5 linked regions of the Nothobranchius furzeri genome follow. The protein of the gene in region 1 binds, or shares a complex with, the protein of each later gene. Links are inferred from orthologs where the notes say so. Each region holds a gene or a part of one and is shown in the gene's direction. Other genes may lie near its edges. The genes, in order: lamtor1, fnip1, lamtor3, flcn and lamtor5.

Region 1 (6,522 bases):
TAATAGAAATAACTAAATAAATATAGGCTACATTTAAAAATGTTTTCTCTATTTTTGGGTCCATGAAAGCACAATTGTCAAGCAGGATAAAACAGAATTATATGAACACCATTTAGCAATAACAGATCTGTTATTTTTTTATTTCCAACATCAACGTGATCGGTATCGGCTCTGAAAACCAGAATCGGCGAATCTCTGATAGTTTTTATTTTAAAATGTTGCTTCCTCATCAGGTTAGTGTTTACAGTAGTATTTGGGTATCCACAGACCTCTCAGCTCCTCCTCATGCCTGACCTCCTCCTCCGTTTGCCCAGCCTGGTGATCGGTCGCTGGGATGCAGAGCTCGGTTCCGCTGGGGAACCGGCTACAGTTAAACATCTCGGGCCAGGGGAACCCGAACGCGCTCATCACTGGCACGCATCCGTCCCGCACGGCTTCGCACAGGCTCCTGCAGGGGCTGACGGGCCCGCTGAGCTCCGGGAGACACACCGGGGCGAACAGCGAGCACAGGAACTTCCTGGTGTCCCGGTGGCACAGCTTGGAGACCAGCGGCAGCCAGGCCGCCGACTGCTGCTGGACCTCTTTAGGAGTATCGTGGCCTAGTAGGTTGGGGATCCACATGCGTCTGTAGCCGATTCCGTCACACAGAGACAGGGTGACCGGGATGGGCTTACACACCGAGCGGACAGAGGAGCTGAATCCGAGGGAAGGGGGTCCGAAGTGGACGGGAGCCACTGCATCGAATGCGCGAGACAGTCTGGAGAGCAGGACAAAGCTGAGCAGATAAACAGACATTGTTCTTGTTCCTGGTGAAGTCTTCAGAGCAGATCTTCCCTGTTTAGGGTAGGGTTATGGAGAGGGCGCCTCCCAGTCCATCCCACCCATCAGGCTGCTTCTGACATCACCAGAGGAGCTCAATCTGAGATGACTCGATTATGATTTTAGACTCTTGCTCGGCTCTGACCTGCCAGAACCAACTTTGGGCTCATGTTTCTCACAAATAACAACAGTTTAGGAAAACTTTAGTTTATGAATCTTAATCTGTAGAGTAGGGGAGTTCAGAAGGGAAAATGTCATATCTTTTTAATGCTTGCAGTGATGCGTTCATGAACCTGAAACAAAAAAGAAAAACAAACAAAGCAGACTTTTAAGTTTCAGTTTGGCCAGTCCTCCACAAGCCAGATATGTTTAAAGATCTGCCGATTCCAATCACCACGCGCCAATTTTTCAGTTTCTTCTTTAAAGTCGTTAGCTCAGATTTTTGTGTGTTTATTGCTTTGCTTATAGTTTCTTATGCATGTATCCTGAACATAATGTATAAACTACTGTATAAAACGATTGTATAAATAGTTGTTTCTAAATAAACGCAGATTAATTTGACAGCTTTTGAAACTATCACTCATTAATGTGCTGTTTTTTGCCCTTAAAGAATTTAAAATATTGTAAATCAAACACTGACAACAAAAACAACTTAAAGTTATTTAAAATTTAAACTGTTGAAACACAAAGTTAAATGCAAAGCTGTAAATGTGCTTGCATTTAAATTGATGCATTATTTGAAAAATAGGAAAACCAAAATTTTTGATGAGTTGTGCTGTCATCTGAAAACATTGACTGAAATAAACTGGAACTGGTTTGTTACACTGTTTTTATTATGCACTCAGTCAAAGGCATCTGAGACCCTTTCATCTTTCTCAGAGAAGCTGCCACTTGTTCACCAACATGCCTCATCCTGTTTCTGTCTCTTGTTCATCCTGCACAGCAAGCTTGGGAAAAGTTTTGATCAAACACTTGATGTTTTTAGATTGACAAAAAGGAAAGAGGCAATCTCATTATCTTACACAATAATCAGTTATTTAACATGGATACCCTTCTCTAAAACAACATTTTAAAGCTAAAAAACAGTTATTCTTGAACTTTAGTGGCACATTTCCCATCTGAAACAGCTGCTGGCATGAGAGAAAAAGGAGATGCAACAACTCCCATGAAGGTTGTAAATGTTAAAACTGCATCCACATAAAAGGAAGGAGCAAAGGTTCCCAGTAGAACAGTACCTGTGCTGACTTGCTTTATTTTCTAACTCTGTCCAACTTACACAAACCAATGTCCTATAAAAAAAAATCAGATTCCCATTTGCCCTTGGTCTGGGTTTGAGTCTCTGCCTATAGATGCCTGCATGGATAATCTGGTTTAACAAAAGGATGGATGAACATTTTGTGGACCGTTGAGACAAAAGTGAAACGTTTTGTAAGATTTGTGACTCATCTTGTGGGAAACTAACAGTGAGTTTCAGAAAAAGATCATCATACAAACGGTACCTGGCCCATGGAGAATGTCTGAACTTTTAATTTAAACATGCCAAAAACATTTAAAATGAATTGTAGACTTAAACTTCTCCACACCAATGTGAGAGACTTATGTGCAGTTATTGGAAATGCTTGCATGCTCTTGATGTCTCACAAAGTTTTACAACTATAATTTTAGGGAGTAATTTTTCCCCTGGACTGATTTGGATATAGACTTTTTCCCATCATTTGAAAACAGACTTTTATTTACTTGGGTTATTTTCTCCCCGTATTTATTTATTTTTTGCTAACATGAAACATTTAACTGTGGCAAAAACGCAAAATGCTGTATTCTGCTTGTATTTCATTTGTTCTCTTATTTTGTAAATGAACTTTGTTCAATAAAGTTATTGAAAAAAGCAAATCCTGTTTTGGGAGCCCCTATGACTGGAACATTTATGCTTTTTTTAATTATCAGTCACCATTTTTAGTTCTGCCGAGGTTTCTGATAAGAACGTTCAACATTTCTGCCCTCACGTGTCCTGGGACGTCGCTGCTTCTCAAATACCGGAAGTAGTTGTTGTGTTGTTGTTGCACCACAGCTGCTGTCATGTGATAGCCTCACTCAGAAGCTGCTGTGGACAGTAGATTCCTACTTTTGTATGGGGCCGTAGTAACAACAGTAAGAAACAAACAAAGCTTTATGTTTGCAGGGGAAGAAGAGCTCTGCTCGTTTCTGAAGGAGCGCAGGGAAGCCGGGGTAGTTTAGTTTCAGCCTTGGACGTTGCCATGGGTTGCTGTTACAGTGGCGAGGACGACAACTCCAGGGAGGTAGGTAGCTAGCTAGCTGGCGGCTAAAGCTAAAACAGTTAACTTCATTCGTTTATTCAAACACTAAATAAGTTCTGCTGGCTAGGTGTCTTGACAGTGTTTAGTGAATGAGCCATTTCATGTTCACACATAACTCGTTTGTTGTCCGTAACATTAAACAGGAAGCGTCAGCTTGCTAAGGCCTGGGCTAAAGGCAGCCCTTTGAGTTAGCGCAGGTCAGAAACAGTTCAGAATAAACTGTCCTGAGGGCAAAAATCAAGTGTTTAGTAAAGCTGCGAGCACATCATTTTCTGCTATTGTCCTGTTTAGTGGGGCATGAGGATTTATAGCCTCCCAAAGGTCCTGCTAATCAGGAATAGACTGATTTCTTCTCTACTTATTGGCTAAATAATCAATTGTGACCCGTGTGTCAAGGAGCTAAATAACTGAACATCATGTGGATGTGCGTGGTGTCATATGGCTGCTGTAAATATCCCAGTTTTATTTTAGTTTAGGGAAATAAACCAGTTTGTCTTCATCCTTCCTCATAATCAGTTTCTCTTTAAGTAGATTAATACATTTCATCTTAGGGTTAGGGTACAACCTGGGTACAACCAGTCTATTTAACCTATGTTAGTCTGAAAATATACATTTTTCTTTACAGTTTCAGATAAATGTAAATTTTAAGGCAGAATGACTTTGATATATTTAAGATTGTATATAATCAGCTCTCTGTTTCTGAACAAAGGAAAATTAAAGGTCTGGAACACTGAAAAACCTTTTAATGATCATTTCTGATTATAACTGACCACTCTTGAGTTTTTTATTCAGGCAGAACATGAACATAGTCTCCTACACCTATCTCCAGCATTAGCTTCTGATAGAAGACAGACGATGAAACGCTAGGATTAGAAAATCCTGACAGATTTACGTCACACTGTCACTTAACATTCATGGACTCACCCATCATGACTCACAGGGAAGGCTGTTGTTGGTCTATCATCCAGGAAACAACAGTGTGTCTCGGCTAGTAGAAGCTAACCATTACTATTAGCATTAGCAACTCTACCACATGGCAGAACTCTATCAGGCTTGTGTTATCTGAGACAAGGTTTCCAAATATCAGGACGTAAGAGTATAGCTCCTGTCATTTGAAGTTCTCCTCTAATGTGACAATATTCTAGTTCCTGAAACAGGTGCACTGGAGCTTTTTTTCCTCCAGAGTACAACTTGCAAGGCATTCATTCCTATTAGACACCACTGTAAATCTACTTATTAAATGAGTGTCCCCCACCTTTATACATTTCTGTCATTGTTTATAACATGTAATCGTAAAGAAGTTGGACGGACATTTGTATAATGCATGAAAGTTGTTTTAAACAAACTTTGATTAATTCTTCTTCTACATATATTTTGTGTAACGTTTACTCCTTCTCCCCAGAAAACATATCTAATAACTAATCGTTTAATCTCATAGTCTCTTGTTTGTTTTATTAAACGTATAATTTGCTAAAACTACCTGATCACATTATTTCTATTTTATTCCAACTCTGCTCTAGAAGAACAGTGAAACGGAGTCACTAATACCCCATCCGAACCCTGTCAACAAACCTCCAAATGGGACCGACTGGATCACTCCCAGTGTTCCCTCTGCACAGGCAACTGAGCAGGCTATCCTTACATCCATCCTCACGAAGGCCGCACAGTAAGACGCTTCCACTGATGAGTCTAAACACAACATATTTACCATCCAAAGAAACTTTATCAATGACTTTTAGATCATGTGAAATAACATTTGTGTAATTGAACTAGAAGGTATTAGTCATGCACCTCCAGGTTACTAGTGCAGCACTACACGGATGTTGGGACTATAACCGATGATGTGTGACTGCATCGTACTACAGCATCCGTTAAGAGTGTTGGAATAGAGAATAATCATAATATAACTAACGTTGTTTTTCTTGTCTTCCAGGAATATCATTGATGTCTCTGCAACGGAATCAGTGGTTATGGAGCAGCGTGAATACATGGACAAAGCTAGACAATACAGGCATGTAGACGAGTAGATGTTTGTTATAGACTGATACTTTATTTTTGATGGGAGGTTCTACTTTTATTCTTCTGGAACTAGTTGACCTGAAAGAGTTGTTGATGAGACTGAATCTGAAGTTTATTTGGGCTTTAATTAAAAATGTTTTATTAAAGTCATTCAGGAAATGAACAACGTAAAACTGTCTTTTTGGAGGCCATACAGCTGGGGAAGAAGAAAACTGCTGACATGAAATAAGGAATTTCAACACCAGACCTCAAAATTACAATAAGGCCGGCCTTGCCTCCTCCTTTTTAGTGACCTCTAGTGGGCATCTAATTATATTGCATCTAAAAACGTACTTGTGAATAAACAGCCGTTCAGTTCATGGAAAACATTTGTTTTTGAGTCATTTTAACTCAAATTAATTGCAAGTTTGTTTTTGATTGGGTTTTTTTATAGTTCAAAGTTGGCTGTGTTGAGCACCAACCTGCCCCCAAAGAAAGCAGACACTCTTCCCTCTCTAACTAGCCAGCCCCACCAAGTTCTTGCAAGTGACCTGGTGCCATATTCAGATGTTCAGCAGGTAAATCACACACAGATCACATTCTTAACATGATGAAATCTTTAGCACACCAACAGTAACTGTTCTTTCTCCTTCGCAGGTGTCTAAGATAGCGGCTTATGCTTACAGTGCAATCTCTCAAATCAAAGTGGATGCTAAAGAGGAACTGGTGGTCCAGTTTGCCATTCCCTGATTCTGAGACTCTGAACCTGCATATCGTTGCTCCCATCCTTCTCTCTCTCCCTTCTGTCACTCACTCACTCTGTCAGTCACTCCAGCGTCATCATCCTTCAGCCCACGTTTTATTAAAAGCTATTGATCCTTGTTAGATGTGACTCTTAAAGACTGACTGTGCATAATTTCACTCTGTACTTAAGTGAAATTATTAAAGGACACTGGTGCTTGTCAGTCATCATTTGAGAAACCGAGGATGGACATGGTTGTATTCTTCATCAAGAACACCACTGTGTGTGAATCATGGCTCAGTTAAGCTAGGCGTGGGAAAAATTGAAAAGATTTATTCCTCTTTGATTTTTTAATAAATAGGATTTTCACGGCCTTTCTGTTCAACCTCAAGGTTTAACTTCACACCATGGCAGAATCACCTGTAACAGAGCCACAGTGAGAAACTCGACTCGTGGTTTATTCACTGAAACCTCACAGGTTCAACTTTAATTGTGTTCATTTTGTCCACCACAACTTAAGAGGTCGCTATAATTTAGCAGGTTGTAGCTGAGTCTCTTCTAATCTGGGATCAGCATCAACAGCCATCACATCAGCCTGGCTGTAGTTATGTTTAAATCTGAACAGGTAACATCAATTTAACCATTTCA
Region 2 (6,362 bases), on another chromosome or scaffold:
TTAACATGCTGGCCAGAGGAACCTCAGCTAGTGAACTAGTAGTGGCTTCAGTGTGACACTTACATGTAAACTTGTGAAGGCGGAACTGCTCACTAGTTAACTAGAGAGGGTACAAATGTCCACTAGTTAACTAGTGAGGTGCAAAATAAGTGTCACTAGTTCACTAGTGGGCCCCAAAATGCCCACAAGTTAACTAGTAAGGTGCGGATATGCTCACTAGTTAACTAGTGAGGTGCAGATTTGCTCACTAGTTAACTAGTGCACCCTTAAGCGCCCACTAGTTAACTAGTAAGGTGCAAAAAAGCATCACTAGTTAACTTGTAAAGTGCAGATATGCTCACTAGTTAACTAGTGGGCCCCAAAAAACCAACTAGTTAACTAGTAGGGTGCGGATTTGCTCACTAGTTAACTAGTGAGGCGCAGATATGCTCACTAGTTAACTAGTGACGTGCGGATTTGCTTACTAGTTAACTAGTGAGGCGCAGATATGCTCACTGGTTAACTAGTGAGGTGCGGATTTGCTCACTAGTTAACTAGTGAGGTGCAGATTTGCTCACTAGTTAACTAGTGAGGTGCAGATTTGCTCACTAGTTAACTAGTGAGGTGCGGATTTGCTCACTAGTTAACTAGTGAGGTGCGGATTTGCTCACTAGTTAACTAGTGAGCATATCTGCACCTCACTAGTACCTCACTAGTTAACTAGTGAGCATATCTGCACCTCACTAGTTAACTAGTGAGCAAATCTGCACCTCACTAGTTAACTAGTGAGCAAATCCGCACCTCACTAGTTAACTAGTGAGCAAATCCGCACTTCACTAGTTAACTAGTGAGCAAATCCGCGCCTCACTAGTTAACTAGTAAGCAAATCCGCACTTCACTAGTTAACTAGTGAGCATATACGCGCCTCACTAGTTAACTAGTGAGCAAATCCGCACCCTACTAGTTAACTAGTTGGCGTTTTGGGGCCCACTAGTTAACTAGTGAGCATATCTGCACTTTACAAGTTAACTAGTGATGCTTTTTTGCACCTTACTAGTTAACTAGTGGGCGCTTTAGGGCGCACTAGTTAACTAGTGAGCAAATCTGCACCTCACTAGTTAACTAGTGAGCAAATCCGCACATCACTAGTTAACTAGTGAGCATATCTGTGCCTCACTAGTTAACTAGTGAGCAAATCTGCACCCTACTAGTTAACTTGTTGACATTTTGGGGCCCACTAGTTAACTAGTGAGCATATCTGCACTTTACAAGTTCACTAGTGATGCTTTTTTGCACCTTACTAGTTAACTAGTGGGCGCTTTAGGGTGCACTAGTTAACTAGTGAGCAAATCTGCACCTCACTAGTTAACTAGTGAGCATATCCGCACCTTACTAGTTAACTTGTGGGCGATTTGGGGCCCACTAGTGAACTAGTGACACTTATTTTGCACCTCACTAGTTAACTAGTGGACATTTGTACCCTCTCTAGTTAACTAGTGAGCAGTTCCGCCTTCACAAGTTTACATGTAAGTGTCACACTGAAGCCACTACTAGTTCACTAGCTGAGGTTCCTCTGGCCAGCATGTTAACTTGTGTGCCGCATGCAAATGTTTGGGGTGGGATTTTACGAAATTCCGCACTGTGATTGGTTGTCATATTTTATTTTGACACAGGGAGCCAATAGAGAGTCTTAATTTGAGAAATTCTCCGCCTCCTAATTAGAATGCTGCGCAACTAGCTAGCTAGTGTGAATGTAGACTTGAACTAGTTTACTAGTATACATTTATGTCCTCACTAGTTAACTAGTTTGGACAATGGATGCATCAACTAGGTAACTAGTGAGCCTGCTGCCATCAACTAGCTAGCTAGTGAGTCATTAATGGTTCACTAGTTAACTAGTGGCACTGACCTACTCCAACTAGTTAACTAGTTAGGAGTTAAGCCTTCACTAGTTAACTAGTGTGCACATTTTGGCCATCAATAGTTAACTAGTGAGACACAAAAAACCTTCAACTAGCTGACTGGTATGCACTTTGGCCTTTACTAGTTAACTAGTGAGCCATTTATGTGTCAACTAGTTAACTAGTGAAGCCAAAATGTGTTCACTAGTTAACTAGTGCACATTTATGTCTACCACAAGTTAACTAGTGTGCACATTTTGGCCATCACTAGTTAACTAGTGAGACACAAAAACCTTCAACTAGCTGACTGGTGTGCATTTTGGTCTTTACTAGTTAACTAGTGAGCCATTTATGTGTCAACTAGTTAACTAGTGAAGCCAAAATATGTTCACTAGTTAACTAGTGCACATTTATGTCTACCACAAGTTAACTAGTGTGCACATTTTGACCCTCACTAGTTAACTAGTGAGACAAATACCTTCAACTAGCTGACTGGTATACATTTCTGCTTTTACTAGTTAACTAGTGAGCAGTTTTTGTGTCAACTAGTTAACTACTGAAGCCTAAATGTGTTCACTAGTTAACTAGTGCGCATTTCTGCTGCCACTAGTTAACTAGTGGGCACATTTTCACCCTCGATATTTAACTAGTTGACACAAACATGCCTAACTAGTTAACTAGTGGACAGAAATGGCTTACATGTTCATGACAATTCTGGCTGATATCCTGATATCAGAATAAATGCTCATTTGGCTTGCCATACAGACCAAACATCAACACAGCGAACCCTCTAACCACGTGGTACCCAGCCAATAATATCAGCCAATCACGTAATTTGTTGCAGCTACCACGCCTGCTGAGCCAATCACAAAAAAGCAGTGGGTTACTAAGCAGCTCCTGTGACTAATGCCTGTCATATGACTCTGACACCCATGGAGACAGTTACAAGGAACAAGATTTCCTCTCGGATTTAAAAACAAAAGAAAACTGTAGAGAATTTCTTTTGGTTGAAAATGCCTCCGACTCTCTTCCAGAAACTTTTCAACAAGAGAAGTGCAGTCTCGTCGCCGCCTCCGAGATGTAGCAAAGGGGATCCCGCTTTCAGGTAGCTGTTTTGTGTTTGTAAATATGTTTGTGTGCAACGTTAATTGCGCTAAAATTGTGTAATTTGTTAACCTGTGTGGATGTTTAACGGTCTTCTAGTGATACTTGATTTGTTTTTAGCCGGCTGGGGTGTACACAAAAAATCTTTATCCTTTAGAAATTTAAACCTTGGTGAAGGAAAGCGGTTGGAGACGTGGGAAACGTGCTTGTTGTTGGTGAGGAAGCTAACGTGCTAACGATAGCTCCTAGCAATGCTACTGCCCACGCTGCATTAGTAGCTTCCCTCGACAGCCGATTTAAACAAAAAGCCCTCATCGTTTGCAGTTGATACGAAGTTAGCACAAAATGCCTTGTCTGGAAAGTGTCGTTTTCCACTTCATTGCTATGAAGTTGCAGAGGCATGTCCTTGTTTTTTTTCCTCCGCGTGTTTCCGCTCGAGTTTTTTGTTGTTACTGGCGATACAGGCAGTTTATCTCTAGCTAGCATGAATAAATTGGTATAAGTGGCTTTTCTCAGCCTTGCAGACGTTGCTGTGTGGTTAGACAACAGTGGAGGACACTGTGTGCTCTAGCGGAGAGCATGTGATGGCTCAACTTGGCCACCAAGGCACGGATCAATGCCAAACAGGGCATCAGCCTGCAGGTCATTCACAACGTTATGTATATTTTAAAGGAAAATTAAATATTGCTTCTCACACACGTTTCATTTCCAAAGTAATTTTGTAAAAAATATAATTTCGAGTTTGAAGTGCTTTCATTATATTTATTATTGCCTGGAATCACAATGTTTCCATTATTTTAGCCCTAAAATTAGATAAAAGAACTGCTTTGATGAACATTTTTGGCTTTTTTTTTCAGTTTAATAAACAGGCAGTTAAAAATAACAGTTTGAACATTTGTATTTTTTCCCTGAAATACATGTTTTTAATCTTTTTAGAGACCACTGATTTTAGTTAAAAACAGGGGCAGATTTAGGACTGAAGAAGATCCGGGGCTTAACACACACACACACACACACACACACACGCACACACACACACACACACGCACACACATGACACGCACTAGTCAACATATATATTTGTCTTGTACCACATAATTTTTAATCTGAAGCTACTTATTAAGCATATTCAGGGCAGAGTATTGTTCCTGTTAATGGTTAGTGTGAGATGATAGTAAATATTCCCTTTCTTTCTCCAACAACTTTACCTGATAAGCTAACTTTAGGCAAACCAGCAGCACAACAAATATTTTCAAATAAGACTCACAAACCTGAGTCAACACCAGTCTCATCAAAGCTGGGGTTCTGTCGTTGTACTTTTGGTCTAAAAAACGTCCTTATGTCCATCTTCACACATGCGTTTCAGGCAGACTAGAAGAAGCCGGCTGCTGAAGGGCTTTTTCTTCAGTAGTGGAGGCTCAGGCAGGCTGTATACAAACTACTGCCAGCTGCTCCCTCTCTGTTGGACTTTGGTACTGCATGTTACTTCCGCGATTTAGATCAGGGGCTTTTCATAAAACATCCGGGGCTTCAGCCCAAGTAGCCGGGCCTAATGCCGCCCTCGGTTAAAAAGCAGCCAAATCAAAAAGAACAATACATTATTATATTGTTATTAATAATAATGTTATTTGAAAAGGGACCCGCCCACTGGCAGAGCAGCAGGCACCTTAATAATAATAATAATAATTAATAAACCTCTCTGCCTCTGAAGGTGTTTAAACCTGCAAAAAAGACTACTTCCTTTGCTTCTATCTCAATAAATACACAAATTGCAGATGATTTGGGTAATCATGTCAAATAATATTTTCCATTTGACTTTTGTCATTTCTACCTGTCTAATCAAACAATGAATGTATGCCAATGTACATATCATTAAAAAATGTCTTTTTAGCCAGAATTTTTTAATGAATATATAATTAAACAAAAGCCCTAATTTTATGGTTATATTAATCTGTTATTTACATGCTTTCTTTTGCCATTTCACCGATTTGCAGTGGCATTGTCTCAAGTAATTGTAAGCAAATGTTTGAGTTCTTGTGATATTTTTCAGGCCTAACCCATTTATTTTATTCCTGTTAATTACATTCAATTAAACGATGATACTTTGGGGGACAAAGGTGTTTAATGAGAGCAGAATACATGCGCATGCTGCATATGAAATGAAGAATATCTAAGACCAGTACTAAGCTGTATAAGTATTTATTGAGGTAATAGTTAATGTGGTAGAACCATGCATCTTTGAGAAGGTTAGCGTAATACTAGGAAACTCAGTTAATTTGCACATTTGTATGTTCAGGGTCAGGTATGCTACCAAGGAGAACGGACTTTAGAGTTGCAAATGCCTTTTCATTTTGAAAGATGTTGCTGCCATCTTTTCATGTTATTTTGGATATATATTTATATCCAAAAAGTGCACCTCCTTTGCGGTGCTTCTTGCACGTTGACCAATGTTGTGTCATAACATTTCTGCAGCTGTAAAGGTGCCCTGCACCCACTGATGTAAAGGCTGTGTGTGTGGGCTGAAGGGAGGGTGGAGGTGGCTGGCATCAGTCCTAGAGCAAACAGACAGTCAGCAGGCGTTTCTGTTAACTCAGTGGTCAGCTGTGCTCTTCATACCTCTGGCATAAGCTCTCCATTCATCAAGCACCAAGCGGCTCTCCAGGGGGGAAATCTGTTAGGAGATGTGGTTGGAGAGGACACGTAGACGACACGGTCTATTTTAATCGAGGCCTTTTAAGAAAAGTGTCCTAGAGATGTTACTCTGTTGTTATTTTCATGCAGATCTCAGACAAATCTAATCAGATTTGTGTAAATGTATATTTTATACAGCCTCTGCAGCTAATATTAATAATTGACAAAAATAATTCAAAACAAAAAGGGTTTGTTTTGCATCCGTGTTGGCGTGTACAATTTGCCACCCGCCAGAACACCGTCAGAGGCGTTCAGAATACCAGCGAGGGCAGCAGGTTGGCTGACGCTTGGAGGAAAGCCTAAAAAGCCTCTCCTCTTTCTCTGGCTGCATCAGCTGACCACTGGCAGCATAGTGTACATTACACCCAGATCCTCTGGCTCTGCCAGGAGCTTTCTCCACACTCGGTGCCTGATCTGACAGCTTGCTGGGGAAACTTTCTTCTTGATCCAAGCCACACATACGTATGAATAAATAACTTTAGTCAGACAAGCTAAACTGGATTTTTTTTTGAACATCACTGAAAAGTAAGGTTAATAAGTTTAATCGTTTTTCAACCCTGTAAATATCCTTTATACACTAAGTTAGTAAATATTTATTTAACCCTGATCGTAACCCCACATAAAAGAATGTATACATTAGTATTTGCTCTTTTTAACTGGATCTATTTTACCTAGGCTCTATCTTCT
Region 3 (5,752 bases), on another chromosome or scaffold:
AACATTTTGTTCCCGTGGAATCACTGGAAAGCAAAGAGAGTAAAACGTTCCGTGTGTGCGTCGGCGGGGCCCGTGAGCAAGTATTGATCTGTCTGGAAATGCAGACAGACAGCAAACAGCCACAGAAACAGAGACAAGCAGACAGGAAGTCAGCGCCACGCGTCTGGCTGTTTATTCTGAGTGAATCCGATTTATTTGGTTTCATGTCTGGTCGAAGTGTCCTTCACACGGAAACCTCTCAACGACCTGCTGCAGCTCGCTGCTGCCTGACACAGCAGGTGGCAGCGAAGGTGACGTGGAAATCAGAGTTTCTCCTGATGCCCGTAGAGGAAAAACTGATACGGTCTCAGGAAAGATTTTTATTCCAATTCCAAAGTGGATTTTTTAGAAACGCTAAACGTTGTTATGTTTATTCATGTGGCAGACGCTTTCATCCAGAGCAACTTGTTAACCTGTAGGGTCATCTGTGGGGGGAACCCGGAGGAACCCCACGCTTGCATGTGGAGAACTTGCAGCTTCACAGAAAGACTGCAGTTGGGTTTTGAGCCTGCAACCTTTTTGCTGCGAGGCAACAGTTTAACCCTCTCAGGCTCAAAATAGGTTCTGATGAAAGGACGAACAACTACGTCCTTCAGGGGTTCTTCTGATGAAAAACACTCATGAACTACGTATGTGGGGTAGCAGGGTAGGTAGGTGCTAATGTGCAACGCCTGCCTCCAGAGGGGCGATACCTGCACCGCCATGTTGGACATCACCAGCTTGCTGGTGGAGATCAGGGGCACCTTCCTGCCTACCAGTCATTCTCCCCTCTCCCCGCTGCTCTGGGGCTCACCTGCACCACCGGTCCCTCCAACCACTGCAGGTAAGGAGTGCCTTGCCCAAGGGCACCACGACTGTGACTAAAACATGATAATATGTGCCGTGGAAATGATTCATTTAACTATTAATATGTGTGAGGAAAATGATCAAACCTCGTGCGTTTGTGTTGTGAAAATATAAAAATAAACTTAACACTATAAGTGTCATCAATTTTATTTTAAAAACATCCATCCATCCATTTTCAGCCGCTTATCCGGAGTCAGGTCACGGAGGCAGTAGCCTAAGCCGGGACACCCAGACTTCCCTCTCCCCAGCCACTTGGGCCAGCTCTTCCGGGGAATCCCAAGGCGTTCCCTGGCCAGGTGAGAGACATAGTCCCTCCAGCGTGTCCTGGGTCTACCTTTAGGTCACCTCCCGGTTGGACGTGCCCAGAAAACCTCACCAGGGAGGCGTCCAGGAGGCATCCTGACCAGATGCCCGAGCCACCTCAACTGGCTCCTCTTGATGTGGAGGAGCAGCAGGTCTACTCCGAGCCCCTCCCGGATGACCGAGTTTCTCACCCTATCTCTAAGGATTGAGGGTAGGAACGTAGATCGACCGGTAAACTGAGACCTTCGCCTTCCGGCTCGGCTCTCTCTTCACCACGACAGACCGGTACAACGCCCGCATCACTGCAGATGCAGCACCAAGGATTGAGTCTCTGCTTTATGCAGATGATGTGGTCCCGTTGGCTTCATCAGAACATGATCTCCGGCTCTCACTGGAGCGGTTCACAGCCGAGTGTGAAGCAGCTGGAATGAGCATCAGTTCCTCTAAATCTGAGACCATGGTCTTGAGTCGGAAAAGGGTAGAATGCCTTCTCCGGGTCAGGGATGAGGTCCTGCCCCAAGTGGAGGAGTTTAAGTATCTCAGGGTCTTGTTCACGAGGGAGGGAATGCTTGAGTGCAAGATTGCAGCATCGTACCACTCGATCCTTCTTTAACGCCTGAGCTGATAAAAGCATGATCTTACAACTGCTGTTGTCTGGCTATCTAAGTTCATGAGGGGGTCTATCTCAACTCCCAGGTTGGTAATGAGAGACCTCCTAAAGGGTGCCAGGGAGGACAGGTCGCCATCAGGAACTTTCCCAGGGCCATTTGTCCCTAACAGCGTGACCTTGTCATCATTGCGCCTGAGGAAATGTATTGCCATCCAGTTTCTGTCATCGAGACGGTCCAACAGGGACCGCTCAGAGGCGGCGCAGACGTTCCTAACATGACCTGATAGTCAGCTGTACTGTGTTCAGGTGAAACCAGATGCACTGCCTGCGAAGTAAAGAGAGAAAGGTGTGTGTCATGGAAACATGCAGAAAAATCATGCCAGTTATAGTTTGTTGTTTTTTAACATTCTCATCACACGTACCGTAGTTTGATGCTGTTACACGCACTTATTACAAAAATCCCTAGTGTGTGTGTGTGTGTGTGTGTGTGTGTGTGTGTGTGTGTGTGTGTGTGTGTGTGTGTGTGTCACGAAAAAAAAAAGGGAGATTGTATGATCCTTGTGATGAGTGATCAAATATTTAAAAACCGTACAATCATAACAATATGCTAAACAGTCATACTATTAGTGATGAAACGGTAAAAAAAATCACGTCATATAAAAACGTCAGACTTTCGAACAGGTTGTAAAAATATCTAAACGTATCTTGACATTTGTCCTGTTGTAAAGCAGGGTAATACTGCCCTCTCGTGGCTAAAACCACGCAGCACAGACTTCCGTAAACACTTCCGCACAAACCGGAAATAAGCCCCGTATGTCATGTGACTTAGCTGGTAGCTGGTAGCTCTTGTTTAGCATGTAGAGCGTCTCAGCGGTGTTTAAAGTCATCTGAAGACGGTATTTGTGCATTTTTTATAGCTTATGTGTGTTTTGTTTAGCGGGCCGTTTGTACCGGAAGCAGCATCTCTGTTGATTAGCTGACATGCTAGCTTGTTTTATTTAAACTTGAGTGTAGACTTTGAGTTAGTGGTTTTTGTGGGAGGTTTTATTTGTTAACATTCGTTTTCTGCCCACAGAGACTTAACTAGATCAGACCGTCATGGCAGACGTGAGTATGACCAGTTTTCTCAATTTTAAAGAACTTTTACAGTTTTTTAAACAAAGTAAGCTAGGTGTGTTTATGTTGCAAACGGAGACGGTTCATTTTGGTGTTTTCTAAGGTCTGATCAGATGCAGCTTAAAGCAGATTTCTCTAGAAGCTGTTTTAATCAGTTAAATGAGTCACGAGTCTGAGATTGATTTGTTTTGTCTTGAGACGCTGAAATAGGAATTAAACCAGCAACCAGACATTTAAAGCAGCAGTCTTTTTATTATTTTGCGTCCAGTTGTCATTTTGTTCACACAGCACTGATGGAGTGGTTTGTTGTCTTACTTTTATAATAAAATGTTTAATCCAGTTTTTGTGGGTTTCTCTGCAGGATTTGAAGAGATTCCTGTACAAACAGCTCCAAAGGTTGGTGTTTCCATGGGAACGCTCAGTGTTTCACCCGTATGTAGTTGTTACTGATCCATTTAAACTCTCCCAGTGTTGAAGGTCTTCATGCCATCGTAGTGACGGACCGAGACGGTGTTCCAGTTGTGAAAGGTAAGGAGCCAGTGCTAAAGTCCTCCTCACCTGCCCGGGTAAGGGGGCCATGTCCTCATTTCTCATTTTTACAGTTGCCAATGACAACGCCCCCGTCCAAGCGCTGAGACCCGGTTTCTTGTCCACCTTCGCTCTGGCCACAGATCAGGGCAGCAAACTCGGCCTGTCCAAGAACAAGAGCATCATCTGCTACTACAACTCCTACCAGGTCACACAGCAGCTCCTCTGAGCGTCGGCACAGGGATGCATTAATGTTCATGCCTTTACATAAGTCTCCATGGTGATGCGTGTTTCTTAATCAGATTGTGCAGTTCAATCGCCTCCCCCTGGTTATCAGCCTGATCGCCAGCAGCGGTGCCAACACAGGTAACATCTGTCTCTATGGAGACAAACAGATGTTCAGTCTGGTTCAGTGTTCTGTTCTGTGTTCTCAGGTCTGATCATGAGTCTGGAGAAGGAGTTGACTCCTCTAATAGAGGATCTGAGGCAGGTGGTGGAGGTGACATAGTCTCCGACTCACCAGAAGACTTGCTGCTCACCACCATCCTCACGATGTGTTTGGGTTCTGTAGGAAATTCTGCCTGCAGCTTGTTCAGTGTGGACCAGATTCATTCACGTTGCTGTAAATGTTTCCATCTGTGCTTTTAGTCTGAATAAATGTGTGGGTTCTGGGCACCAGAGTGGTTCATTTAGAGTTAAACCTAAAGAATACAGATAAGAACCTCAGAGCAGACGGAGTCCAGATGGTTTCAGAGGCTTTAATTTAAACATTCATCAGTCATGAACAAAGTGTTTCCACAATAAAACTGGTTCTCCTGCTTCTGGAAACTCACATTCTCATGTGGAGATATAAATAAGCCACTCACATGTCAGTTCTACCCACAATGCTTTGCTGCTGGCATACAGCATGGCGAGCATCAGAACCCTGACATGTCTGAGCTTCCAGCTAACTGGTGAAGCAGTTGATCTTCTGATGGACCCATAAAGATCTTCAGAATGAACAGAATTCATTTAAAATATGAGTCCTGTTCCGGATGGTTCTCATTCACCGTTTCCACGACAACCTGGAGGAGGAAGCTGCAGACGAGTGTCATCGGCCTCTTCTTACCTGAGACTGGAAACACATAGTTGGTGGATTAATGGTTGAAACTGTAAATACATTCAGAAGTATCAAGTCCTCTGAGCTTCAAGGCTCCTTGGACTCGTCGGTTAATTGAAACATGAGGGAAATGGATCAGCTGGACTCACATCCAGAGACGTGCATCTTCATCTAACCTACTTTCTCCAAGACTGAGATCATGTCCACCTGACTTCCTGTAGAGGTCATGACCTCAGGCCACCAGCTCCCTCACTTACATGCAGCCGCAGGCCTCCTGATCCAGTTCAGACTAGGGTTGGGTGATCTGGATCATTTTTCCCACCAAAGCGATGCACGGACTGATTAGCGAACACAGAAGAAGCCCAAAAATAGATTTTTTATACAAGCGCAGCGCATGTTTGCTGGAAGAGAACCCCTAACTCATTTTTATTCATATTCAGTCCAAACAAGCGGCTCAGAGTGCCCCAGGGACATAAACTACGTTTTCACTTGGAGTAGGAACCTTTCACTGCTGCGGCCCGAACGCCGCGTGACCCCAGCTGCTCATCTGCAGCTTGTGAATGGTCAGATGTCTCCAGGGAGCTTGCTGAAGAGGTTATGAGCTTCTGGACTGTCTCAGGCTCCTGGATGTGTAAATGTTCTGGGTGGATCCACGCTCCCCGACGCACTCGAAGCAGGAGCTGATGAATGACGAGCGCTACTTTAGTCAAAGTTTTAAACCAGGAAACCTTTCTCCAAACCAAATAACCAGAAGTCCCCTAAGTGAGCCATCTGGTCACCCTACTCGCAGCCCCTCAAGCTGCACCGCTGCCACATTTACGTACGCTAACACACAAAAACACCAAATAGTTTTGTTCTCAGGAATGATTAAGTAATATTTTCACTTTCAAATAAGCATCGATGCAGCTTTAACTCAAAACAGCAACACAGTTAAAAAAAGGAAAAATCAGGGTTAGTGGTGACTTGTGCCATTTTTAGACTGGCCTGCGGGGGGCACTCGTGGTGACCCCAAGAGCACCTTGGTGCCCGCAGGGTCACCACGTTAGTGACCCCGCCCTAAAGACTCGGGCTGAGACACAATCAGCAGATGAAGAAATCTAGTGGATTTTAGCAAAGAGGAAGTGAGACAGGAAGTGTTTTTTTAGTTTGACTTACAGACGTCTGACAGATGTGTGTCTGACAGATGTTTACCTGAAAGATGTTTACCTGAC
Region 4 (6,411 bases), on another chromosome or scaffold:
ACACACACACACACACACACACACACACACACACACACACACACACACACACACATTATGTTATTTACTCAGGTAATAAGGTAGACTGCTTTTTATGAGGAAACAGAGGTGTGGCTGTTGCTGCTTGCTTCCATCTAAAATATTAAAAGCTATTCAATAATATGTGTAAGTAGTGATGCACCGATATGACATTTTTGGGCCGATACCGACATTGATACCAATATATTGTCCATCCCTGTGTGTAAGTATCACAAAGATGAGAGTAGGGGATTTTTGAAATATTTTTGTAGCTGTGACTCACACCAGGTAGAGAATACCACTCCCACCATCCTCTTCACACTGCTGGTGTGTGAGCGGAGTCGACTCACACAAAGCTCCCGAACCCAACACTAACCTGAGATATGCTCTAAAAGACTTTACTGCTGAGTTCACAGGTGTTTTTGAAGACAACGAAAAAAAACGCTTCATAAGCCGAACACAGAAGATAATCAGGGATGTGTTAGGGCCGCACAATTTTGGTTAAAAGGAGAATGACAATTATTTTGTTTGCTTAAAATTGAGATCAAGATTCTCTTACAATTATTATCCAAAATAAGTATTTATTGCACTTATTACCTGCATATCAACTTACGTACACAACTTTTAAATAATTTAAACGATAACTGTTTTGAACAATGTTCTCTCTGCTTGTAAGGTGATGAAAGACGTAGGTAATATGTGTGTTTGTTAAAATGTAAACCGCAATTATTAACAAAATGTAACATTTAACAGGACAGCATAATTGTTGACCATGGCAGGATCACAACAGAGAACATTGTCCTTTTCTTGTCTAGCCAGCTGCTTAAAATCCTTATCATTTGGAAATGAGATTGCGTACACGCATGAATTGAGATTGCGGTTTTTATAACTATTAGTTGTGCAGCCCTAGGGTGTGTACTCAGTCCTTTAAACTTTAATCTGCAAACACACAAATGTACCTTTGGCACAAAATTGAAAGCTTTGCAGTTGGACTCATTGGCATTGAGGATCAAACATGATAAATGACCCGCACTTGTATAGCGCCTCTCAAGAGTAGGGACTCCAAAGCGCTTTACACTACAGTGTATCATTCATCCATTCACACACACATTCATACACTGGTGGGGATGAGCTACAATGTAGCCACAGCTGCCCTGGGGCGCACAGACAGAGGCGAGGCTGCCGAGCACAGGCGCAACCGGACCCCGACCACCACCAGCAGGCAAGGTGGGTTAAGTGTCTTGCCCAAGGACACAACAGCAGAATTATCTGTCCGGAGCCGTGATCGAACCTGCAACCTTCCAATTACTGGACAACCCGCTCAACCTGTTGAGCTACTGAGGTGAGCTACATGTTACAGAGGTGAGGTTAGGGGTTTTCCACCAAAGCAGTTGCATTGCTAGTTCAGAGCCATTGTTTGCTAGATCTTCCTGTTTCGACCACTTGGAATGTGGAGATGGTTAGGGGGCTACCACACTGAGCATCTCTGCTCAACTCTACACCACACATGACTGCAGAAGAGTCACTTCAGCAGAAGGCTGTGGTTGAAAAGTCCCCTCTCCATCCTTGTCACCATTACCAGTGACCTACTGACAAGATGCATCTGTAGAGCAACAGGAAGTGACTGCAACTTGTGGTGAAGATGGCCAAGTCACTGGAGGCTCACTCAGACAACAGAACCAAATCTGACCAACATGACTGGCAGGTGGGTAGACACAGGGAAGAAAGACGGCGAGAGAGAGAGAAATACAGATTTTTTTATATTTATATACATATAAATATACATATATTGAGAGAGAGAGAGAGAGAGAGAGAGAGAGAGAGAGAGAGAGAGAGAGAGAGAGAGAGAGAGAGAGAGAGAGAGAGAGAGAGAGAGAGAGAATGACAGACATGAGAAAAGACAAACACTAAAACAGGCATTTACCTCTCGTGGCTTGTTGGGCATCTTTCCTACTTTTAGTTTCAGCTGGGGGGGTCCCTCCACCGTCCACTGCGGATTCTGGGGGAACTCCTGATCCGTCTGACGCCATTCCCAGTTCAGAAAGGCTCCTACGTCCCTGTTGGGCTTTGCCTTTTCCTTTACAATGAAACACGGAAGTTACTGATGAGCTAATAAAGTAAACACACATGCTGTAAATTCAACATTATACAATGTTAATTACATTTAAATCACAAATACAAACGTTTTAAGAAATGGTGTTTTATATTTATTAAAAGTACATTACCACACGGTCCTCTGTAGCTCCGTACTTTTTAGCACTCTAGAGAAACGCTGACCAACTCATTCGTAACCTTTACCCTCCTCGAACTTAACTCTGGGTAATGTAGTTTTATGTTGTCTTTCGACGAAACACGCTTCGTAAAGTCAAATGCTAGCAACACATTTTCCCATATGAAAACTATCTGCTCACAGACGACATTATTTTATTTTAAATAAATCATAAAATAGTAATTATGATTAAACTTAATCAACTCCGTGACGTACGTCATGATTTGTGTCCGAGCGCGTGACTCGAGGTCACGTGACTGTGCTGTTTGCTAACAACTCGAGACTGAGACGAGAAAGTGCTGAGAGGATTTATTCTCTTGAATTCGCGCGTTTTATACGAGACATGTAGACGAAATATTTGATTTAGCGTCACGCTTTTGTTGTTTATACATTTTTAACACAAACGAGTGAAGCAGCAGCGAGCTCCAGTCTAACTCTCAGTGCTAAAGGTGAGATCCTCTCGTTGCTGCTGGTTAAAATGGCTTAAACGGGTGTTAGCTTGTGAATAAAAACTATGTCATAAATTACGTTGATTAGATTCTCATAAACGCTTGATCCGTTTCTCAGATGAATGCTCTGGTAGCTTTGTGTCACTTCTGTGAGCTCCATGGCCCTCGGACACTATTCTGTACCGAGGCGCTACACCCTCCATCCCCAGACCCCTCCTCTCAGGTGGGCACCCCGGTTCCAGGGGACAGAGATGCTGATCGGGAGGGTGAAGGTCTGACCATGAGGGCCAGCGGGTCTGTGTCTCAAAGAGGGGAGATGTGTGAGGTGAGTGGGCATGCGTGATGGGATCTCACCCACAGTAAACCTTGGAGAAGGTTCATTCAATTCAGTTTATTTATAGTCACGACAACAGTCGTCTCAAGTCACTTCACATAGTAAACATTTCTATACAAAGGAACTCAGCAGATTGCAGTGCTCACACTAAGCAAGTGTGTAGCGACAGTGGAGTGGAAAACTCCCTTTTAGCCCCAGAAGAGCCAGGCTCAGTATGAGCAGCCACCCGCCACAACTCATTATGGTTTAAGAAGATAGAGCAGCAACATTATTTAATAATCCTGTAATCGAAGTTCTCCTTTTCCCTCCTGTCCATGCCTCACAGGGATGCCGATCTCTACCTGCGTCTCACCCAGGCTTCGTGAGCATCGATGATGAAACAGGAATTCGCTTTGTGAGCCATCAGCACCCCAGACAGTCTCAGCTTTTCAGTGTAGTTCGTCAGGCTTGTGTACGCAGTCTCAGCTGTGAGGTAAACTCTACCTGATCTAACTGAGGAGGACCTTTTCTAACCTCCCCTCCTCCAAAAACGCGAGTCTTTTTGTTGTTGGGTTTCAGGTGTGCCCTGGACGTGAAGGGCCGATCTTTTTCGGTGATGAACAACACGGGTTTGTGTTCTCACACACGTTCTTCATCAAGGACAGCCTGGCCCGTGGGTTTCAGCGCTGGTACAGTATAGTTGTAGTGGCCATGGACAGGATCTACCTCATCAACTCCTGGCCTTTCCTGTTACGACACCTCAAACTCACTATACAAAGTCTGCAAAGCACAGCTCTAAAGGTAGAGCCTAAATGTAGACTGTGCATTCATTTTTTTTTACTGGACAAACACTTTGTCATTTTAATAAGTCAGTTTGTGCTGTTTTGCCATCTTTTTGTCCATCAGGTGTTTGACACTGAACAGGGTATTTGTCCCCAGCGAGCTCTGAGGATGAACAGCGTGTTTTCTCCTGCGGTTTTTCCACATCAAAGAAGTGGCAACGCAGCCCGATCGCTAACTTCTCTCACTCAGCATCCCAATCTCTGGGCCAGCCTGCATTGCTCCTTCAGCTGGTGAGTTGAGATAGACTTTTAATAGCCAGCCATTGTGATTTCTCCACGTTACTTTTATGACTTACCAAGCTGATGTGTGTTTTCACTTCCTTTTTAGGTTACTGAAAGCCTGTGGTTGTCGTCTGACAGAAAAGCTCCTTGAAGGAGCCCCAACAGAGGACACGCTGGTTCTTCTTGAGAGAAAAACAGGTAGAAAGACATGATTTCATCAGACATTCACTGCTATGGCTAGTGTTTTTGTTTGTTCAACTAGTCAGCCTGAAATCCGTAAGAGTGAATCACAGAGTCGATCGGGAAAGGCATTTGATCCAGGAAAACATGACACACCACTTCACAGTTAAACCCCGGTTTGTCGAGATTTAGAAAGTGATTAAAAGACTTTTGGAGAATTTTTGGGGCTCGGCCCAGACACGACTGTGGAATGAACTTTGTTCATTGATAAAAAATAAAAATAAATGTCCAAACAAAAACCTTTTTTTTACATGATTCTAAATCATTTAATGGAAATGATCAATGTTTTCTTCAAAAACCACAGAGCAGCTTTGCAGTAGTCACAGCCTGGCAGCCCACAGACATTCCTGGGTGTCTCCTTCTAGCAGATTATCTAATGCGACCCCCCCCCCCCCCCCCCCCCATATACCCTATGGGCCAGCTGTTCCCAGATCAGCGCAACAGGGTTCTGGCACGCAGCAGAAAGAAACATGATATTTTCAAGTGATCTCAAATATTTGTCTGGTAATGTAGATGATAGCTAGCCTGGCCGGCCAGACTCGTCCTCTGTTTAATTCTGCACAAAGAGTCTGGTAACTCACAGGCGGAGAGGCACTTGAGGGGCGGGACTAGACAGCTCAAAAATAACCAATGAGAAAAAAGACGTACATGCCGACTGTACCATGCAACGCTGTAGTTAAAAAATGGCGTCTAGCAACGGCGCAGACATCTATTATTCTTTTAAAGTCAAAGTTAAAGTCCCATTAGTTGTCACACACACAGGTATGTGTGTGACATTTATTCTCCGCATTTGACCCATCCCCTGGGGGAGCGGTGAGCTGCAGACACAGCCGCGCTCGGGAACTATTTGGTGGTTTAAGCCCCCAATCCAACCCCTTAATGCTGAGTGTCAAGCAGGGAGGCATTGGGTCCCAATTTTTCAGTCTTTGGTATGACCCGACCAGGAGTTGAACCCCTGATCTCCCAGTCTCAGGACACTCTACCACTAGGCCACTGAGAAAGGGTAGAAGAAAGGCTTTTAGCACTTCTGCTTGTTGTGGTTCTAAAGACATTCAAGTAATTTAGAACAGAGGAAAGAGCCGCAGCGAACTCCACTTCAGGCGCCATGTTTACGACAAACTCGGCGTTATGGTGTGTGACGTACAATGCTCAGCGCTGATTGGCTCGGTTAGATTCCTCATGGTTATTTGATTAGGGGAGTTCCCAGACCCTTTCTCTGTGCAGAATTAAACAGAGGAGGAGTCTGGCAGGCCAGGCTATATGATAGCACATTAAAGGCTGGGAAGAAACCACCAACCATGTTTTAAAGGTTCCAGATGATGCTATTTTAAACCTTTGAGAGTAACGGTACACACAGTATATGATCAAACATTACCATCGGCACTATTGAGATGTCATTTTATCTTAAATGCGACGGTGGCACAGGAGTTAAGTGCTCGCCCCGTAATCGGAAGGTTGCAGGTTCGAGCCCCGCTCAGTCTGTCGCTGTCGTTGTGTCCTTGGGCAAGACACTTAACCCACGTTGCCTGCTGGTGGTGGTCGGAGGGACCGGTGGCGCCAGTGCTCGGCAGCCTCGCCTTGTCAGTGCGCCCCAGGGCAGCTGTGGCTACATTGTAGCTCATCACAATCAGTGTGTGAATGTGTGTGTGAATGGGTGAATGACTGGTTGTGTTGTAAAGCACCTTGGGGGGTTCCAGGACTCTAGAAGGCACTATATCAAATACAGGCCATTTACCATTTAAATAGGAGTTATTTTCATCAGCCTGAGTTTATACCTGGAATAGAAACGATTAGTTTCAGTGAAGCTCCGCCCACTTCCGCTCTAACAAAATATGCCTACGACAGCATCTCAGGCAAGTCAGTTGCTGCGCTGGCTAGCGGTTAAAGGAACGGCCTTTCGTCTTGTTTTGCCGTGGGCGGACGCCTGTTCGACTGCTGTTGAGGGCGGTAATTTATTCAGCCAGATGAAGTAGATGTCATGTTTCTATATTTTAGTTTTATTGGTTATTTTCTGCAAAAGATGTTTGATTTTTGTCATTTTCCAAGCAGCATTTTAGC
Region 5 (6,553 bases), on another chromosome or scaffold:
GTGCACATGCGTGATGTTCCTTCATTTTTTATTTGCATTATCCCGTTTACCGTCATGCTGAATTAACTTTTTATTGTCCACACCATGAATAAAACACATTTTAAATTCCTTTTCAACAACATATTTCACAATTTTTATTTAATAATAAAATATAAGGTAGTATTGTTTAACTTTTTTTCAACTTTCCCATGTTTTCAGAATTTTTATTGTTTATTTGATCATTCAAAAAATCCAACTAACATAATGTAAAGGATGGGTAACAACAGTGCTTTATGAATAATAGTATTTTTATTTTATTGCATCAAATTTGAGTGTAATCTACCATGTCCTTTTTGAAAAAACAAACATAAATTTTTAAATTTTTCTTGAATAATGTCCACATATTTTAAATAAGTGTTACTAAATAGAATTTAAAATATAAAAAAAATGTCTTGATTTGTTTTGATTTCCATGGATGGAGTTACAACAGGTTGATGATGTATTGATGCTGAGTCAGAGCTCATTTGCTGATCCACCATAAAGTCAACCATCTTTCCTCATATGTGTGTGTCACACCCATAAACATATACAAGTGTGTGTGTGTGTGTGTGACCAGAAAAGAAACTGTGACGTAACAAATCTAGGAAATGGTTCTGCGTACTTGCACCATTGCCTACGTGCATACTGGGACAGTGATGAGAGGCTGGTTGTCAACGGAAGCAGGCTTCTGGTGATTTAAGATGCACAAGGAGAAATATGAGAAAGAGAAGAGGGGAAGCAAAGAAAGAAGAATTAGAGGAAAGGAGGGAGAGAGTAGCCCATAGGTTAGTCAGCAGGACATTGCACTGTTGCTGCTCCAGTGATGGATTCCCCAATGCTGCAGCCACATAATTATACTCACCCATTTCTGCTCAGTCAGCAGGAGCACTGAAGCCCCACCATCTTGGAATAGGCAGGCGAAGTTATACAGGATGGAGAGCTCAAATGTATCAAACTAACTTTAGAAGAAATATCTTTAAAATACTCCATCATCAAAGTGCTGCAAATGCTAATTTTAACAAATACACAAGGTGATTTTGAGCGAAGGAATGCATTGAATTGTACAGACATGCCAAAAATATTGTTTTCATGAAGAACCTAATAGGAATCAGCTCTGATGGTTTGGATTCCGGAAATGATTCCACTTGTCAGTGACAACATTAATCAAAACCACATTTTCAAGTAACCATGTTATGACTGCAGACAATGAGGCTAGATGGGCTTCAGTTCTATCTATTTAATGAAAATTATATCAATTATCTCAATGACTCATCTTACATAGGACAGTGGAACTTGGATTATAATGGTGTTTTTAACATCCATGATATAATGATAATGATAATTATTATTATTATTATTATTAATTATTAATAATAATTATTATATAATATAATAATTATCAAATCAAATCAAATCACTTTTATTGTCACGTCACATGTGCAGGTACACTGGTACAGTACATGCGAGTGAAATTCTTGTGTGCGAGCTTCACAGCAACAGAGTTGTGCAAAAATACAGTAACGTAAAAACATGTAAAATATAAAAATGGCTAATCCAAATATACAAATGAATAAAGTAAACAATAAGATAAGAGATATAAAATATATAGAGGCTGGTATGTGCAAAACAGTGGCATTAATGTACAGTATGGAATGTGTAATGTTGGAGTTTCAGTAGTGAGGGTGAGGTGTCTGTGAAGTGTTCAGCAGTCTGATGGCCTGATGGAAAAAGCTGTCTCTCAGTCTGCTGGTTCTGGACCGGATGCTGCAGAACCTCCTTCCTGATGGAAGTAGTCTGAACAGTTTATGGCTGGGGTGACTTGAGTCCTTGATGATCCTCCCCGTTTTCCTCAGGCACCGCTTCTTATAGATGTCCTGGAGGGAGGGAAGCTCACCTCCAATAATCCTTTCTGCACACCGCACTACTCTCTGGAGAGCTTTGCGGTTGTAAGCGGTGCTGTTGCCATACCAGGTGGAGATGCATCCAGTGAGGATGCTCTCAATGGCACAGCAATAGAAGGTCCTGAGGATACGGTGGCTCATGCCAAATCTTTTCAGTCTTCTGAGAAAGAAGAGGCGCTGCTGTGCCTTCTTCACTGTATTTTCCGTGTGCACTGACCACGTAAGATCCTCTGCCAGGTGAACTCCAAGGAAACGGAAACTGCTCACCCTCTCCACAGCGTCGCCGTTGATGGTGATGGGGGGGTGTATTCCTCTGCTTCCTCTGCTCCTCCGGAAGTCCACTATCATCTCCTTTGTCTTTGTGACGTTGAGGGTGAGACTGTTGTCCTGACACCAGTGGGTCAGGGCGCTGATCTCCTCCCTGTAGGCCGTCTCATCGTGATTGGTGATGAGACCTATCACTGTGGTGTCGTTCGCATACTTCACAATGATGTTGGAGTTTCTCGTGGCCGTGCAGTCGTAGGTGTAGAGTGAGTACAGGAGAGGGCTCAGCACACACCCCTGCGGTGCACCAGTGTTCAGTGTGACGGGGGATGAGGTGGTGCCGCCCATAACATTATTATTATTATTATTATTATTGGAAAATTTAATAAAACTTGAAGGAAAATGCTAATTCTTTCTATCTATCTATCTATCTATCTATCTATCTATCTATCTATCTATCTATCTATCAATCTATCAATCTATCTATCTATCTATCTATCTATCATCTATCTATCTATCTATCTATCTATCTATCTATCTATCTATCTATCTATCTATCTATCTATCTATCTATCTATCTATCTATCTATCTATCTATCTATCTATCTATCTATCTATCAATCATCTATCTATCTATCTATGCCTATTTTGTTTATGTAATGTAAATGGAAAGATTTTGCGTTCTCTCTCTCTCTCTCTCTCTCTCTCTCTCTCTCTTTCTCTTTCGCGTCACACTTTTTGGTCCTCGTTGTGACTCGTAGCGCACGTGACGGTCAGCTGACTCTAACCGGAAACGTCGATGAAACTGTAAACAATTAAACCTTCTCTCTTTTCGTTTGTTAACGATGGAGTCGACTCTTGAACAGCATCTCGATGACACGTACGTTAAAAATCTCACTCTAACTGCTGACGTACTTCACTTTTTGTTTCATTAAAGCCTTTCTCCTTGTTTTTTTGTAGCATGAAGAATCCAGCAGTTGTCGGTGTGCTCTGCACAGATCACCAAGGACACAACCTGGGCTGTAAGATTAATTTAAAAAAGATTTACAGCAAAATGTATGAAACATATTCGGTTTAGTTAGCTTTTACAAGGCTACGTCAGTGTCGTGTTCTTTTTTTTTTGAATAATGAAATAACTTAGTTGCAGCAAAAGCTATTAATGTAACACACAAATAATATTATTTCCTTCAGTTTAGCTATTTTCATCTGTAAAGGTTGAAATACATACTACAGTATAGTTGAAGTTACTGTGAATCATACATTTCAACCATTAAAATCTCAACTTATTTCACATGCCAGAAAATCTTCACAGTGTTTGCACTGTTAGCATAATGAGATTAGCATTTCTGATGGAATGAGCTCTTCTGGCTGTTTAACAGGTCAACAGGAAGCTGCTGTAATTAAATTTAATCACAAAGGCTAATGAGGTATAATTAAAATTAAAATGTAATGTTTTTATAATTCTCTAAACACAACCAATCCAAAATGATGCTTATAATTGTTTATTGTTGATTATTACTCATAAACTAATAAATACTAAATGCTTAATAACCACGCAGTTAGTTAGTGAGGTCATTTATGAACATTATTCACATACAACAATTACTGTCATTGGGAAAGTGAATACTCCGTGGAATTGATTCTGTGTTACTTGTTTGGCTTCCATGGTTTAGTTTGAACTTTGATCTCTTCTACAATTCATCAAACTTCAGGGAGATGAACATGCTCTAAATTTTACTTAGGCTGTGAATTCAGAACATATCCAGTCCATTTTCATCAGCTGTGCAATGAAACACAAAGCAGAACAACTGATGATAATATAAAGTAATTATTTTACTTCCCAGAGGACTCCTGCAGCAGCTGACAGGTATCATGTGGTCTGAAGAATCACAGCTTGACGGTTGCTGGAGCATAGAACTTGCTGGAGGGGCTGTCTGCCCTCTAGCTGTCTTGATGGAGATGGAGAGTCACTGAGATCAGAGAAATCTGAGCTTCGCTCCTGGACCTGTTAGCAACCCAGACTTTGATAATTGGAAGAAAAATGATGGATATATCAGTATATATATTTTTTCTGTTCGGTTTAATTAATATTTATAACAGAGGCATCCAGCAAAGTCTAAGCTCTTTGTTAGCGTCCTCATACTTTTATTATCTTTTTAGGTCTTGTTGAAAGTTATTTTGAAAAGGTTATGATGTAACTGTTGGAAGTGGGTAAACATGAGTATTGTTTTGTGTAGTCAGTAGCAATGTTTCCCTGGTACATGGACAAACCTAAATGAAATAGTCAAAAGATGCAGAAGACAGAAACCAAACAATGAGTTCAACATGATTCAGATCCTCGAGAGACCCCAGAATTCAGAAATCCTCAGTCTGGACTAAATAACAGCAGTGGGACAGAAATGTTTGTAATATGTTAACAATCCTTCATAAGGAGGTCATTGTTGTATACAGGTTTGGAATTAACACAAATCACAGAAAATGACTGTTTGAAAGATGCACTGATTTCCTTTTTTTAAGACATTTAAATAATTCATTGCGTGTTTCTTTTCTTTTTTCTTTTAGGTCGTGGCTCCTTGTCTGATGAACATGGTGGTGTTGTGTCTGTTTTGTCCAAACAAGCTATGGCGCTCACCAGAGACCCAACAGTCACCCCGACCGTGTGCCTGGAGTCTGAGTCAGGGTGAGAGCACTGACCGGGTTTTAGCTTGACTTGTAATTCTTTTTAAAAATCTATCTCGGGGTATTTAAGATGTACCTTTGGGGGTTCTGATTAATGTGTACGGAGATCAATTACTCTAAAAAAAGCTTTTTGAGAGAGATCAGAACCAGAGACTCAGGGTTCTGAATCTGATCCAGTGGTTCACTGTCTCCCAGCAGCTATTAGCATCCGGGTCCGAGCCTTCATCGCGGTTGCTAAAACCAGTACGCTTATCTGGTTCCTCCAGTTTCTATTTACTTACCAAAGGCAATGCCATTTGTGACTTTGAACTGAACATGCTCGGTTCTTGGCATTAGATTCCAGAATGTTGTTCATTTCTTTCCCAAAAGGCAGCTGAGATATTTTCTTGAGACTCCAAGCCCTTTTTAATTTCCCCTAATAACCTCGTAGACATTTAAATAACCCCATCATCATTAAAAACGGGTCCAAAGTTGAACTACAGAATAAAAAATTAAAAAGCCAATGTCCTCTTTAGTGGACGGAGGCTCCATGGAGGATGGAGAGGGAGGAAGTCAACCAACTGTGGGATTTTATTTATGTCGTTGTGCTGCCATCTTCTGGTAAATGAACATCTCGTCTTTCAGAACATTTTACCAACCCAATGACAGCTCCTGAATATTTATTTATTTAAAATTACTGCTGCGAACTTTCAATCTCAGATATAATTTGTTATCTCAAAAGTCTAAATAACATAAATACAAATACAAACGGTTTTGAGTCCGATTCAAGGCTTATTTTAGCTTTTACATCAGTTATATTCAAACAGTATTTTTAGGTTGTGATTGATCATCTCCACAGCCAGAACTCAGTGTTCCATGAACCACTGGGCCATCGGGACCCCAACTTTTGGAACCACTGCTTTAATTATGTTTGAAACCATAAAACCAGAATTTGTGAATAATTTTGTTTTTGATTTTTTACACTTAGTATAAATGATTTAGAGATCAGATTTTTTAAAATTATGATAAACCTTTATGCTTTATTAAAGATGGTTAAGGTATGAAAATCTGTTTCTTTTTATTAGCACTGATAACTCTATTGGTGCCTTTTAGTAGAGTTACAGTAAGATTATTAAATGAATGTCGTGGTGAATGTCTGAGAGGTGGGACCGAAGCAAACGATGATCACCAAAACACCACTTTTCAACCTGATCATCCGTGTGATTTCTGATTATCAGGTGAATATTGGTGTTTTTATTGTTTAACAGAAACATTCTGGTGAGGAGTCATGGCACCATCACGGTAGCGGTTCACAAGATTGCATCGTGAAGACAACAGGAGCCTCAGGAGTTTTGGGATGAAGACATGAAACATACACAATCCAAACAAATCAGAGAAAAGTGGGAATTACACTGATTTCCTGTTTGCTGTAGATGTAATATTGAGGAGTATTGTTGACTGGGTGTGATGAACAGAACTGATCATGTTGTGTGAAATGCAGTGAAGGTTGTTTGTCTGATCTTAAATGCCACAAACACTCAATAACCTTGATTAAACGTTAACTTGACTTTCAGCTGTGTTTTGGAGTGTTATTTTGTGGTTAACCAGTTCATTATCTTTGGCAACACTTGTGCATTCATTACTGAGATGTTAGAACACAGGGCTAAACGACTTTTCTGTTCTGCTGATTGGAAAATCAGATGTGCATGAAA

What was found.
Region 2: lamtor1 (region 1) and fnip1 share a complex: the UniProt entries of both Homo sapiens proteins name them as parts of the lysosomal folliculin complex. The link is inferred for Nothobranchius furzeri from reciprocal best matches to the Homo sapiens genes LAMTOR1 and FNIP1.
Region 3: lamtor1 (region 1) and lamtor3 share a complex: the UniProt entries of both Homo sapiens proteins name them as parts of the ragulator complex. The link is inferred for Nothobranchius furzeri from reciprocal best matches to the Homo sapiens genes LAMTOR1 and LAMTOR3.
Region 4: lamtor1 (region 1) and flcn share a complex: the UniProt entries of both Homo sapiens proteins name them as parts of the lysosomal folliculin complex. The link is inferred for Nothobranchius furzeri from reciprocal best matches to the Homo sapiens genes LAMTOR1 and FLCN.
Region 5: lamtor1 (region 1) and lamtor5 share a complex: the UniProt entries of both Homo sapiens proteins name them as parts of the ragulator complex. The link is inferred for Nothobranchius furzeri from reciprocal best matches to the Homo sapiens genes LAMTOR1 and LAMTOR5.

The regions. Positions count from the first base shown.
Region 1 is NC_091753.1:34,138,364-34,144,885, forward strand, and holds lamtor1 (ragulator complex protein LAMTOR1), read left to right. Parts: upstream 1-2,897; 5' UTR 2,898-3,074; coding exon 3,075-3,116; intron 3,117-4,654; coding exon 4,655-4,800; intron 4,801-5,067; coding exon 5,068-5,145; intron 5,146-5,586; coding exon 5,587-5,710; intron 5,711-5,789; coding exon 5,790-5,882; 3' UTR 5,883-6,247; downstream 6,248-6,522. Other genes in the region: sfrp2l (secreted frizzled-related protein 2-like), read right to left, coding at 270-795. UniProt on the Homo sapiens protein: Key component of the Ragulator complex, a multiprotein complex involved in amino acid sensing and activation of mTORC1, a signaling complex promoting cell growth in response to growth factors, energy levels, and amino acids.
Region 2 is NC_091750.1:58,894,974-58,901,335, forward strand, and holds the start of fnip1 (folliculin-interacting protein 1), read left to right. Parts: upstream 1-2,787; 5' UTR 2,788-2,893; coding exon 2,894-2,985; intron 2,986-6,362. UniProt on the Homo sapiens protein: Binding partner of the GTPase-activating protein FLCN: involved in the cellular response to amino acid availability by regulating the non-canonical mTORC1 signaling cascade controlling the MiT/TFE factors TFEB and TFE3.
Region 3 is NC_091758.1:44,826,944-44,832,695, reverse strand, and holds lamtor3 (ragulator complex protein LAMTOR3), read left to right. Parts: upstream 1-2,577; 5' UTR 2,578-2,694; intron 2,695-2,873; 5' UTR 2,874-2,896; coding exon 2,897-2,905; intron 2,906-3,275; coding exon 3,276-3,310; intron 3,311-3,383; coding exon 3,384-3,442; intron 3,443-3,516; coding exon 3,517-3,650; intron 3,651-3,744; coding exon 3,745-3,808; intron 3,809-3,876; coding exon 3,877-3,950; 3' UTR 3,951-4,115; downstream 4,116-5,752. Other genes in the region: dapp1 (dual adapter for phosphotyrosine and 3-phosphotyrosine and 3-phosphoinositide), read right to left, coding at 4,533-4,556. UniProt on the Homo sapiens protein: As part of the Ragulator complex it is involved in amino acid sensing and activation of mTORC1, a signaling complex promoting cell growth in response to growth factors, energy levels, and amino acids.
Region 4 is NC_091745.1:76,767,597-76,774,007, reverse strand, and holds the start of flcn (folliculin), read left to right. Parts: upstream 1-2,529; 5' UTR 2,530-2,736; intron 2,737-2,854; coding exon 2,855-3,061; intron 3,062-3,395; coding exon 3,396-3,542; intron 3,543-3,628; coding exon 3,629-3,850; intron 3,851-3,955; coding exon 3,956-4,122; intron 4,123-4,219; coding exon 4,220-4,311; intron 4,312-6,411. Other genes in the region: leng9 (leukocyte receptor cluster member 9), read right to left, coding at 1,943-2,048. UniProt on the Homo sapiens protein: Multi-functional protein, involved in both the cellular response to amino acid availability and in the regulation of glycolysis.
Region 5 is NC_091755.1:27,980,677-27,987,229, forward strand, and holds lamtor5 (ragulator complex protein LAMTOR5), read left to right. Parts: upstream 1-2,921; 5' UTR 2,922-3,028; coding exon 3,029-3,063; intron 3,064-3,143; coding exon 3,144-3,205; intron 3,206-4,745; coding exon 4,746-4,863; intron 4,864-6,109; coding exon 6,110-6,170; 3' UTR 6,171-6,414; downstream 6,415-6,553. UniProt on the Homo sapiens protein: As part of the Ragulator complex it is involved in amino acid sensing and activation of mTORC1, a signaling complex promoting cell growth in response to growth factors, energy levels, and amino acids.